Canis lupus familiaris: one gene and its partners. The protein of the gene in region 2 purifies or fractionates together with the protein of the main gene of each other region. This does not show direct contact. Links are inferred from orthologs where the notes say so. Each region holds a gene or a part of one and is shown on either strand. Other genes may lie near its edges.

Region 1 (4,186 bases), on a different chromosome or scaffold from region 2:
TTTTCAGCTTTCTTCACTGTCTCCTTTCTCTCACATCCTTTATTTTTTTTCTCTCACATCTTTAAATTTGAAGCTCACTAGGGCTTCATACTCTGTTCTTGCTCCATTCTATGTCTCTGAAATATTTCATCTTCTAGTGTCCCTATTCAAATAATTATACCATTCATTCACAACCTAAATCCTAGTTCCACTTGCCCAGTCATATTTAACAAAAATGTGATTGAATTCTTATGCAAATCCTCAATAAAGGATTAAGCAGCTCACTTAGATAAAATAATGTGAACTAAAATAAGCAATAATGTTCTGAATAAGCACTAGAAGGCAATATTACACAACTTAAGCCTGGTTTCCATGACTACTTTTTGAAATATTTCAACTAATTCTTCCATTAATTGTAATTGACAGTTTGTACAAAAATGGATCAATGATCAAAAATCACTAATAAATGTCATATATGCAATTAATCTCTATTAATTTTGTCTAAAACTGCTAATATGGTTCTAGATACACAAAATTGTATTATTACACAAGTATACTAGTAGAAAGTTAAAATAGGAATTTCAGTCACAAATTAGAAGTCTGGAACAACATACAAAATAAATTCTTTGAGAGAGGTTTGTAAAAATGTACCTAGAGTGACATAATTCAGACTCAAAGCTCAAAATTATACCTATCAGAGCAAACTGTCCATTGAGGTTTTGTGCTGTTTTCAAAAATATGATCAAGAAATACATTTGTGTCATTGTGGTTTTCAGTTTAGATAGCAAAAGGTAGTTACATACGTTTATATCCATAAGATAAACTGCTCAATCCTGTAAACAATTACAGACATGAGAAGACTGATTTACCCAGAAAAAATGTGAACAAAGCTCCATCTTCACAATTCTGCAATAGATAAGAGCCCTAGTACACAATGGTAAACTACAAATACCTGACTTAACAGCCTAGTCCCTTTCATAATGAAAGGACATCTTGTTATTGCCTAAGACACTGCACATTCAATAAATACAGTAAGCTCTGTAGCTTATTTGACAAAATACTACTATGCTTTCCCCATGTGTTGCAAGAAGCTGTGAGGAAAAAAAAAAAAAAAGATGAAGCCAACTCCCAATTACCACTGTCAAAGCCAAGCTGGTGAAACAAGTCAGTCATCATCCTTCAGGGTATGTGGCATATGAGGACATGGAAAAGAAAACAATAGGACAGCCCTCAGCAAAAAGACACCCACATTTTAAGAAAAAGAAAATGAAAGTGACTTAAAATCTACATCAAGAAAGATGAACATGCAGGGAGCCTAGGAAGAGATGTAGGAGCTACTCAAATTTTCTAGTTGGTGGCAGCTAAACACTGTATAAGCAGTCATATTTCGAAGTTCTATAGCTTTCCCCCTTTCCCCACAAAACCCCTAGGCCCCCAATACCCTAAAGCCTATAAGTGAACAGAAGATAAAGGGAAATGGCTGATAGGACGTCAGAACACAAGTGCAGCTGCAATCACATCTCCAGAATACCAAAAGGTCCAGATATCAAAGTACAGCTCTAAAAATCTCCATCAGGCACCTTTCACATCCACATAAATCTCCATCTCCATCTCCTTTGCATAAATCTCTTTAAAACTCCATGCTTTATCCAACAGCATGATTATCTAAAACTATATATATATACATGTATATATATATATATATATGTATATATATATATGTGACACTACCCTTAACCTATACCATTGCTCCCCTTAGTGAAAGGCAGATTTTTTTTTTTTTAAGGGAGGTGGAAAGTGGAGGATGGAATATCTTGGCGGGGGGGGGGGGGGGGGGAGGGGGAAGAGGGCGAGGGATAAGATACGTGCAAATACCATTGCGGCAGAGATACTGGAAACGCCACTTCCCTCACCGCTCTTGGAAATTCTCTCCGTGCAATGCCTTCTCGCCCTCTACCAATTCCCTCCTCCTTCCTCAACAATACACACACACACACACACACACACACACACACGTGTCATAACCGACCGGCACCATCACCTTTTCTAACATCACATGCTTACCTCCCTCCCACTCTCGCTGACCCCCTACAAAGACAGTCACACGCACTGGGCAGAAATTGTTGCCACCGCACCCTCCTCTCTCAGTTAAGTGCTTCCAGCACCCAAGCGCCAAGCGCTCGGTAAACAGGTACGCAGGCACACATGCAAGCTCTTCTACATGCATACACGCGCGTGCACGCACACACATGCGGCGTGTGGCTCGAGAAGGCCACCGGAGACGCACCTGGAGGCTGGGTGTCCGGCGCCGCTGCCCCCCTGGTCCCTGTCACTGAGCGCAGCGGTGTAAATCCTCCGGTAGCGGTCGGCCAGGGCCCGGCCTGACAGCAGCAGCTGGTAGTGACCCCGGGAGTCCGCGGCCGGCAGCCCCAGCCCCAGCCCCGCGGCAGCCACGGAACCCTCGGCAACCGGCATGAACAGCGCCCCCGGCGCCGGGGAGGAAGAGAAGGTGACGGCTGGGAAGAAGCCGTCCCCGCCGGGCCCCGAGGAGGCGGCGGCGGGGGAGGCAGTCGCCGAGCACATCATCATCCTCGCCGCCGCCGCCGCCTCGTCCCTGCGGGCCGGGCAAGCAGACACGCGCGCGCACACACAGCCCTTTGCCGACGACGACGGCTCCGGCGGCGGCCTCTCGCTCCCGCGGCAGGGGACTACAAAGACAGCGTCCTCCTCCTTCTCCTCCGTCTTCTCCTTCTCCCCCCTGCGCCGCCCTCGCCGCTACTGGGGCCGCTCATCTAACCCCGCCACCTCGGGAGTGTGAGGAGGAGGCGGTGCCGCCGCTGCCGCCGCTGCCGCCGCCGCCACCGCCGGGGCTACCCGCAATGGGAAGCTGCCGGCCGCACTGGGCATGCGCCACTCCTCGCACATGCTCAGTAACCCCAACCCGTCTCCCTCCCCTCCCCCCCTCGCCACCACTCCCTCCGCCTCAGGCCTTTGGGTGTGGGGTGTTTGAGTTGTGCCGAGTCCGAAAGAAATCCGCTTCTCCGGGTTTTACTGGCAGCCTGAGGAAGAGTAAGGAAAGTGCTGAGAGGACTCAGCTACAGGCTCTTGGCTTCAGGTAATGGGGTTCCCCTCCAGGTGAGAGAACTTGGACCTTTGAGAGGGAATGTGTGTCGTCCCCCCCCCCCCCGCCCCCGGCCCCCCGCCAGAAAATGAGTGTTATGCATTTTTCAGCTACTTTTTCTCAAAATGTGTGCTGCCAGCGTGAAGATGCACTGGGAACAGCGCTGGTTACTTTAGAATCAAAGGCAGAGAAGGCCAGCCAAATTAGTATCTCTCTGGTGATTTTATTTTGGATTTTTTATCATTAGGATTAAAATGGTTTTTACCTCGAAAAACAGGTAGTAAGCTAGTGCATTCTGAAAGTAGAATTCACAGATAAGACAGTAGAATTCACAGATCATTCACATTCCTAAATTCTTATTCTCAACATTGACATCAGAGCTAAACCTTAACGCAGTAGTACTTTCCTTACATATTACCTTGACCCCTTAGAGTGCACTCTTACCTCTTGACAGCGGCCACTTAATGGCTTATCTTTTTCTGCCCAGACTTACATTACTAGAGATAATTCTTGAAAATGACCTGACGCTGTTAATTGTGACTCTGTGCAACTTCTGAAAATGTCATTATCTACCAAAGATCTTATCCTTTTATCTATTAAAATGTAACATATGCTGAGTCCCTTGTGCCAAGCCATTCTACTAACCCCTTAGAAGTAGGTGCTCTAGAAATGCATGTGCCAAGAAACCCTGATTCCTAAGTGTTTTTCTACTTGACTCTCAATTTGAAGAGTTTGCCTAATTTATACTCCTGAAAAAAATCGTTTCCTCGTCCTGTCATCCCAGTAGTATTTTCTCTATCTACTTACTAACTTTCTTTAAAAAGATTTATTAGGCAGCCCCAGTGGCTCAGCGGTTTAGTGCCACCTTCAGCCCAGGGTGGGATCGAATCCCACCTTGGGCTCCCAGCGTGGAGCCTGCTTCTCCCTTGGCCTGAGTCTGTGTCTCTCATGAATAAATAAAATCTAAAAAAAATAAGTAAGATAAAATCATGAATAAAATAAAAAGATTTATTTATTTATTTATTTGAGAGCGAGCACAAGAGAACCCATATGCGCTTGCTTGTATTCAATGGGGGGAGGGGGAGG
Region 2 (4,348 bases):
CATACGCTCCTGGGGAGTACAAGTATGAGGTCAACACTGCCAACTTTCAACACTATCAAAAGAAGTGGTTTGTTTTTTTTTGAAAGACACTGGAACCAGAGGCCATCTACATGAGTTCTAGCCTATATGACTCAGAATTCCATTTGTCCTACCCTTTGCTTCAGAGCTGAAGTCAGAAATGTCTCCATCTGTGTCATAATTATTTCCAAAGCCAATTAAGAGATGGCAAACAGAAAATTATGACTTCAGGTAATGAATAAAATGGCAAGAACGGGTAATTGTTTAGAATGAACATTTAGTTCACCCAAAGCAGACAAGTAAATTGAATGATTTGCTTTGTTTATTCACTTAGAGAAAAGACAAACCATTACACTTTAGAAGAATGCAGGGGTGCCTGGGTGGCTCAGTCAGTTACACATCAGATTCTTGGTTTCAGCTCAGGTCACGATCTTGTGGTCGAGGGACTGAGCCCCACATTGGGCTCCACGCCCAGTGTGCAGTCCGCTCCCGATTTCTTCCTCCTTCCCCTTTGCCCCTCCCCACTTGTGCAGGCGCTCTCTCCCTCAAATAAATATATAAAATCTTTAAAAACAAAAAACAAAAGGGTGCAAACGTGGTGAGTTGCCTTGTTCTCCATAGGAGTGGGAAAGCCCTTTACAGATTTTATTATGGTGCTTGCTGCTGAGGGGTAGAGGTAGCAAAGGGGTCAATGATCCCACTAGAGGTAGGAAAAGGGGTGTTAAGACTTTCTGGTCTTAAGAGAAGGTAGAAGATGATGACATGCTTTTAACAGTACTGTCAACTCTAGGAAACATTAAGTGTAAGAGGAGTAGTCAGCAATTTGTCTACATGTCCTAAGACATAAATAGAACCACATTTCCTTATTAACCAGTAAGTACAGCCCAATAAGCACAGAAAAACTAAAGACTTTATCTCATTTGCTATTAAATAGATTACAAAATATTATTTTAATAGCTTGTACAAAATAAAAACTCAGAATGAATTCAGTTTAAATAATGCATTTGTATAAAAAGACAACAGTTTGTGTAAATGGGGTCCATTTTTTCATGCTTTTAAGAGTACGATACAGATAAGGACAAAAGTTTGTGTTAAACTAAATATACAAAAGATTTCATTATCTTGTCCCTCAGGCAAACTGAAGTCAATGTTCTTTTCTTTTGTTACCATCAACTGGCACCACAAGCAACCTGTGCCGAGGAAGTGCCCTCCTAGTGTAGCATTAAGGGTCTTTCATACTCAAGCCTGAACGCACACATTCCCAGCCCCTTTCCACCACACCCCTTCGAAGACTCCAAGCGCCTAAATAAATAAATAAATAAATAAAACCCCACTTTCTAATTAGAGCTAGAGAGTAATCCTCACATTGTTCCCAGGTCATTCTTTGTCTCCATTTGTTAAAGTCCCTGCAGGGTCGGTGTCCTCACAGGTAGGGCTGTCACCTACTACACAGAGTGCCATTAACCGCACGTTAGTTGGATTAAACTTTGGTTTCTTAAGGGCAGCAAGTTTGTGTGAATCGACCTCACATTTCCAACTCCCATAAACTCAACACCTGGCAAAATAGAAGCTTGAAACCTATCAATTCCTTAATGCTCTTAATCGAATGGCCAACTCATCCTGGACTTGTAGGTGGGGGCGGTAGGTTTCATCCCCCGTACGGTGAAACAGCGCTCTCCTGGATCAGTAGGATCTCAGGCATCGCAAAAACACCCTCCCCCCTCCCCAAACCGGCCCAAATAAAACAAACAAAAAGCAAGGCATCTGAGTCTTCTTTACCAAACTACCGGAATAAACGGTCGGTGGAAGGGTCCCAGCTTCGCGGGGTGCCTGGAGCAGCAGTCCTCGGCAGTCCGCGTCCTTTACCCAGAGTGCAGACGGGGTTTTCGTATTAAGATCCCAGAGGGGAGCACGGAACGCACGGCGATGCGCGGCCCCAGCGCGCCCACAGGCCTCTCGCTGCCCGCCCTGCACTTACACCGCTGGGGGGGGGGGGGGGGGGGCGGAGGAGGTCACCCCCGCGGCAGCGCCGTCGCGGCCCCACTCGCCCCGAGAGCCCCGCACCTGCCCGTGGGGGCTGCTCTCCGCCCGGCCCTGGGGTCGGGCGCGGGGCACAGGGCCTGCCCCCGCGCACACCGCACAGCCGCTCCGGGAGCCCCAGACACAGCTCCTTTGTCTGGACCACGTGGGAGGAGTCTGCGCGCAGCGCCGAGGATTCGCCGAGGCCGAGTGAGCGCGCCCGGAGGCTCGGCTCCGTTACGGTGCCGGCCGCTGTCCCGGCGTCGGGGGCGCGGAGGGCGCGGAGGGCGGGAGGCCGCGTGCCCCGGGGCGCACCTGCGCGGCCGCAGCATCCACCCCCGCTGCAGGGCGGGCCGCGCCACCTCCTGCCCCCGGGGCGCCGGCCCCGCCTGGCCCGGGATGCGCGGCCCGGGTACCGCCGGGCGGGATGCGCGGGGCTCCCGCAGGGTAACCCGGGCTGCCCCCGCGCTGCCCCGCACGGTGACCCGAGCTGCCCCGCACGGTGATCCGGGCTGCCTCGGGGGTGACCCGGGCTGCCCCCGGGGGTGACCCGAGCTGCCCCCGAGCTGCCCCGCAGCACCGCCGCCCGCGCCCCCGCGGCACTCACCCTGGCGCCCGACGATCTCGGCGACGTGCTCGGAGCTGGGCACCGGGACGCACTCGGTGGTGTTGACGCTCTTCCTCCGCAGCAGGGCCGCCTGCTCCCCGTTGAGGGCCGCCGCGCCGCAGCCGCCGGGCCCGTAGGCGTGGGACAGCACGGCCGCCATCATGGCCGGGGCGGCCGCGTCCCCGTACAGCGCCCCCGCCGCGTCCCGGGCGTCGAAGCCGGCGGCGGGCAGCAGCACCGGCCCCAGGGGCCCGCCCGGCAGCGGCGGCGGCGGCGGCGAGTGCGGGGCGGCGGGCGGCGACAGCAGCAGCAGCGGCGGCCGGGGCTCGTCGGCGTCGTCGGGCTCGTCGGCGTCCGGCCCCCGCCCGCCCCGGCCCCGGCCCCGGCCCCCGCTGCCCGGCCCCGTCCGCGTCCCCGGCCCCGTCCGCGTCCCGGTCCAGCGCGGCCTCCGGGGCCCCGGGCCTGCGGGGCGGGGCGCGCTCCTCCGCGGCCGGGGCGGCGCTGCCGGGCTCGGCGGGGCCGGGGTCGTCGAGGCCTAGCGCGGCCAGGCGCCCCCGCAGCAGCGGCGCGGCCCCGGCGGGCTCGGGCTCGGGCGCGGGCGCGGGCTCGGGCGCGGGCGCGGGCGCGGGCTCGGGCGCGGCGGGCGGGGGCAGGGGCGCCAGGGCCGCGGAGCTGCCGCTCGGCATGGCGGCGCGCGGGCGGCGGTCAGGCGCGGCGGGCGGCGGGGCCCATGGCGGGCGCGCTGGCGGCGGGGCGGGCGGCGGGCGGCGGGGCGGACCCCGGGGCCGCGGCGCGCCAGGGCCGCCCGGAGCCTGCAGACGGCGGGGTGCGGCCGAGCCGCGGGCCAGGCAGGTCCCGGCGGTGGGTGGGGACGCGGCGGCGGCGCGGCTCCCCTCTCAGGGCTTCTTTTGTTCCATGGCCTCGGCCAGCCCCCGGCGCGCGCCGCGGCGGCCACGCCCCACGCCCCACGCCGCGCTCCCAGCGGGGCCGGCGCGCTCCGATTGGCTGCGCCCGCCCCCGGAGCCCGCCCCCTCCGCGGCCCCGCCCCCGCCCGCGCCTCGGGCCCCGCCCCGCCGCTCCCGGAGCTCGCTGATTGGGCGGCCGGGCCGGGCCGGGCCCGCTGCCTTCCCCTTCCGTCCGCTCCCCTCCCGCCGACAGGGGCCGTGATTGTCCGCTCCGCACGTCAGTCTTTGTGACGCGGCGTCTGGGGGCGGGGAAAAGCGGGCGGAGGAAGGCGCGGTAGCCGCTGAAGGCCGGGCTGCGCGGAGAGCGCGTCTGCGCACGCGCGAGCGGCGGCGGCGGCGGCGTGCACCTGGGCGTCCCCGCCTCCCCGCGGGTCCGGCTCGGCCTCGGTGCGGGCAGCCTCGGGGTGCAGCGCGGGCGCCGAGGGCGCGGTCCCGTCGTTCGGGGGCCGGGGCCCGGGGACAGTCCTCGGAGGAGCGAGGGGCGGGGTCCTCCTGGGCGGCCCGGGGCGCTGCTCCCGCGGGGCCGGGCCCTCCCCCGCCCGCCGACCCGGCCTCCAGCCCCGCCCAGGTGCCGCGGGGCCCTCGAGCTCCACCCGACTTCTTTGGGGCTTTTCAAGAAAGTTAAGCCGTTTCCTCCTGCGACGCGCTCTTCCCCAGTGTGGCCCAGGCCACCCCACGCGGGGTCTCCTCTGCAGGTGCATTGTTCCGCGGCCCCTTAGGAGCCAGACCTGCTGCTTCC
Region 3 (3,579 bases), on a different chromosome or scaffold from region 2:
AAGTAATCTTAAATTTTCTCTAAAGCTTTCTCAAAGATAATTGTGAAAATCTCTCCAAATCACCTCCTGATTTGTAAAAACAGGTTAAGAAATTTTAAGAGTATTATAGTTTATTATAGTGTTTTATTACATTCAAAGAGACCCATTGATGTGTTGCCTGTTTAAATCACATATGTGTAAGTATGAAACGGGGGACAACAGATGATGATAAATGGGCTCATTTTATTTATCTATTGTTTTCATTTAGTCACTCTAAGTTTGAATACGTTTGAAAATTCCAATAATAAAAAGTAAACATATGTATAAACACATATATTACTTGAGAATATGGTGGGCTGGACAAAAACCAGTCCTTCCTCCACAATAAAAACTTAAAATAGGTCAAATTAGGCTTGTTCCAGAATCCTTCCATCCTCTCAACTGGACAAAAATCTAAGCGCTTGGGTACCAAACGAACAAAAATTCTTTATTAAACCATCAGTTAGCCCCTATCCCTGACCATCTAATTTTACAGGTTCTATTTCAAGAAATTTACATTATTGCAAAGATGCCTTTTTCTCCCTAAACTGGAAATACCTATATGAGTTATAATTCATTTTCACCTCACTCCACTGCACATTGTTAGCCCCACTGGGTATTTAACAAGTTTCCATGGATTGCATGATATCCTGTTTATTTGGAAGCCTGAAACCTGGAGCATGGAGCCCAAACACTTATTATCTTCTCATTTGTCCTCAAGTAGAAAATTTCAAAGACAGTGGCTCAGGGTAAGAGTGACTCAAAAGCAACACCAAAACACAACTTGGGACCAGCTAAACATTCTATAAAATAGATACTAATGCCTTGTATCTTTCCTTATGGAATTAAAAAAAAAAAAAAAAAGTGCCACATGGTCTTACTCGAGGGAAAAAAAGAAAGGTTGAATCTTCTAATGCTGGTGGTGATACCTATCAGAAGTCATGGTTTAAGCACATATATACCTGCACCAGCTTCTGTGCCTGGAAGGTGGCTACAAGATTTTTTTTTTTTAAGATTTTTATTTATTTATTCATGAGAGACACAGAGGGAAAGAGAGGCAGAGACACAGGCAGAAAGAGAAGCAGGCTTCATGCAGGGAGCCCGATGCAGGACTCCATCCCCGGACTCCAGGATCACACCCTGGGCCAAAGGCAGGTGCTCAACCGCTGAGCCACCCAGGCATCCCATGGCTAAAAGATTCCTAATGATAGGTACTACAGTACCTTAAAACAAAACAAAACAAAACGTGGTTTTCTTCATCCCTTGACCTTGATGCTAAACTTGAAAGATAATAAAAGCCAAGGCTATTCAAAGAATAAGATGAACCAGATGAAATATTAAAGCAGAGATCTGAGCACATGATTTGCAAGTAAGAGACAATGTCTATTTCAAGGCAAATTCCAACTCTATTTCAAAAAGTTCAACAACAAAGAAAGCATTCAGAGGTTATCCAGTGATTAACTCAAAGTTATTCACCTCCAAGTAAATAGTGCATTAGGCAAAAAGGGGAGGCCTTATTCCTCCATCTTCTCAATAATGGCACCTAGTCATCAATCACTCCATTCAAATGAGCTCCAGTTACTAGCAGAGTCAACATACCACTTGGGACTTTCTCCCCTTCATTATATGGACAAAGTTAAAAATATTAGTAAGAGAAATAAAAGGTCCTCAAACTTTAAAGTGTTATGTTCTAGCTGCCAAACACTTAGAATATTAATTGTCAAAAAGAATTTTGTCTTAGAATTTTCCTGTATAAGAATGCATTACAATAATTAGGCAATAAATAAAACTTTGTTTCTACTCCCACACCAGAAAAGACCACAAACGTCTGAAGAAATAATCTTTAAAAAAACTGATATAGGGACGTCTGTGTGGGTCAGCGGTTGAGCATCTGCCTTCGGTTCAGGATGTGATCCTGGGGTCCTAGGATACAGTTCTGCATCAGGCTCCCTGCAGGGAGTCTGTTTCTCCTCTGCCGATGTTTCTGCCTCTCTCTGTGTGTCTCTCATGAATGAATAAAAAAAAATATATATATATATATATACATCTATATATAGATATATATAAATTTAAGGTAAAACTCAAAAAATTATTAAAGAGCCAAGGTTTCTGAGCAAACACAGGGGTAGGTATGATACAAAGGTTTGCTTTAAGACCCCTGTATTTTAGTAGCACTTGGTTTTCACTTGAGAAAACAACTAATGTGTGAGACATAATCTGAGGGACACACAGAATTCATGTTTCTCATAGCTAATCTGTTTCAATATCCCAGAGACAAGATTTGTTTTAAATATGCTTTTTAGGGGATCCCTGGGTGGCTCAGCGGTTTGGTGCCTGCCTTTGGCCCAGGGCATGATCCTGGAGTCCCAGGATCGAGTCTTGCGTCGGGCTCCCGGCATGGAGCCTGCTTCCCCCTCTGCCTGTGTCTCTGCCTCTCTGTCTATCATGAATAAATAAATAAATAAATCTTTAAAAATTTTTAAAATAAAAATAAACATGCTTTTTAGGAAAGCCTCGGTGGCTCAGAGGTTTAGCGCTATCTTCGGCCCAGGGCGTGATCTTGGAGACCCAGGATGGAGTCCCATATTGGGCTTCCTGCATGGAGTCTGCTTCTCTCTCTTGCCTGTGTCTCTGCCTCTGTCTCTCTCTGTGTCTCTCATGAATAAATAAATAAATAATCTTAAAAAAAATAAAATAAACATTCTTTTTAAAGGGATGCATTTTAAGTACTGCTCTCTATAAAAGCAGAAGCTTATTACCATTGGATTTGAATCTGCTATGAGATCCCGCAGAGAATCCAGAAATCCCTGATCTTCCACCATTTGGGCATTGATATCATGGAGTTTTGCCACACAAACTGCTGCTGTTTTCCGAACATAGGGATCTTCATCCTTCAAGCACTTGCGTAGAGGCTCACAGAGATATTCTGTAATCTTGTCCACCCGGATGCACCCCATGGTCCTGACTGCCAAGGCCCGAATTAGAGGATTGGGATCTTCACAATCCTAAAAAGAAAGAGAAAGAGAGAAAGAAAGAGAAAGAGAGAGAGAGAGGAGAGAAAAAAGAAAAAGAGGAAGAGGAAGAAGAAAAAAAGAAAAAAATCATTGACAACTACAGGTATACATGGTGACTAAAAAGTAAACAGTCTAGTTTATACAAGCCTCAGAAGAACATTTCCTTTATGTAAGCTTCCAGTTACACTCTGTATCAGACACTAATCCCCCATACTATTGTTTCCTAAGTACAAATCTTAATTGCCTATTTAAGAGCTTAGGTTAGGAATTCATTTAACTATTTTACAAACACAATGAAGAAATGCCCAGTAGTATTCATTCCAGGGTGAGGCAGAAGTCAACTGGTATTACCATCACCATGGCTGTTACTGTATGTGCCTTAACAACAGGAAAAAAATGAGGAATTGGAAAAACGTGTACCACTCCCGAGTCAGTCTGCAAATATCCCCAACCCTGCACATGCATTCACTTTCTTGCTCTCTCAAATGAATAAATCTTAAAAGGAGATCTTACAAGGATGAAATGATTTTTCATCTTTATGTTTGGA

What was found.
Region 1: the proteins of RNA-binding E3 ubiquitin-protein ligase MEX3C (region 2) and MYCBP2 purify together in Homo sapiens (affinity purification with mass spectrometry; 3 studies listed by BioGRID and IntAct, with this or other methods). This does not show direct contact. The link is inferred for Canis lupus familiaris from reciprocal best matches to the Homo sapiens genes MEX3C and MYCBP2.
Region 3: the proteins of RNA-binding E3 ubiquitin-protein ligase MEX3C (region 2) and AP2B1 purify together in Homo sapiens (affinity purification with mass spectrometry; 4 studies listed by BioGRID and IntAct, with this or other methods). This does not show direct contact. The link is inferred for Canis lupus familiaris from reciprocal best matches to the Homo sapiens genes MEX3C and AP2B1.

Annotation. Positions count from the first base shown.
Region 1 is NC_049243.1:30,958,162-30,962,347, forward strand, and holds the start of MYCBP2 (E3 ubiquitin-protein ligase MYCBP2), read right to left. Parts: upstream 2,860-4,186; 5' UTR 2,569-2,859; coding exon 2,267-2,568; intron 1-2,266. UniProt on the Homo sapiens protein: Atypical E3 ubiquitin-protein ligase which specifically mediates ubiquitination of threonine and serine residues on target proteins, instead of ubiquitinating lysine residues.
Region 2 is NC_049222.1:23,929,119-23,933,466, reverse strand, and holds the start of RNA-binding E3 ubiquitin-protein ligase MEX3C, read right to left. Parts: upstream 2,842-4,348; 5' UTR 2,808-2,841; coding exon 2,645-2,807; intron 1,817-2,644; exon of another isoform or gene 1,798-1,816; intron 1-1,797. UniProt on the Homo sapiens protein: E3 ubiquitin ligase responsible for the post-transcriptional regulation of common HLA-A allotypes. Binds to the 3' UTR of HLA-A2 mRNA, and regulates its levels by promoting mRNA decay.
Region 3 is NC_049230.1:38,021,498-38,025,076, forward strand, and holds part of AP2B1 (AP-2 complex subunit beta), read right to left. Parts: intron 3,024-3,579; coding exon 2,778-3,023; intron 1-2,777. UniProt on the Homo sapiens protein: Component of the adaptor protein complex 2 (AP-2). Adaptor protein complexes function in protein transport via transport vesicles in different membrane traffic pathways.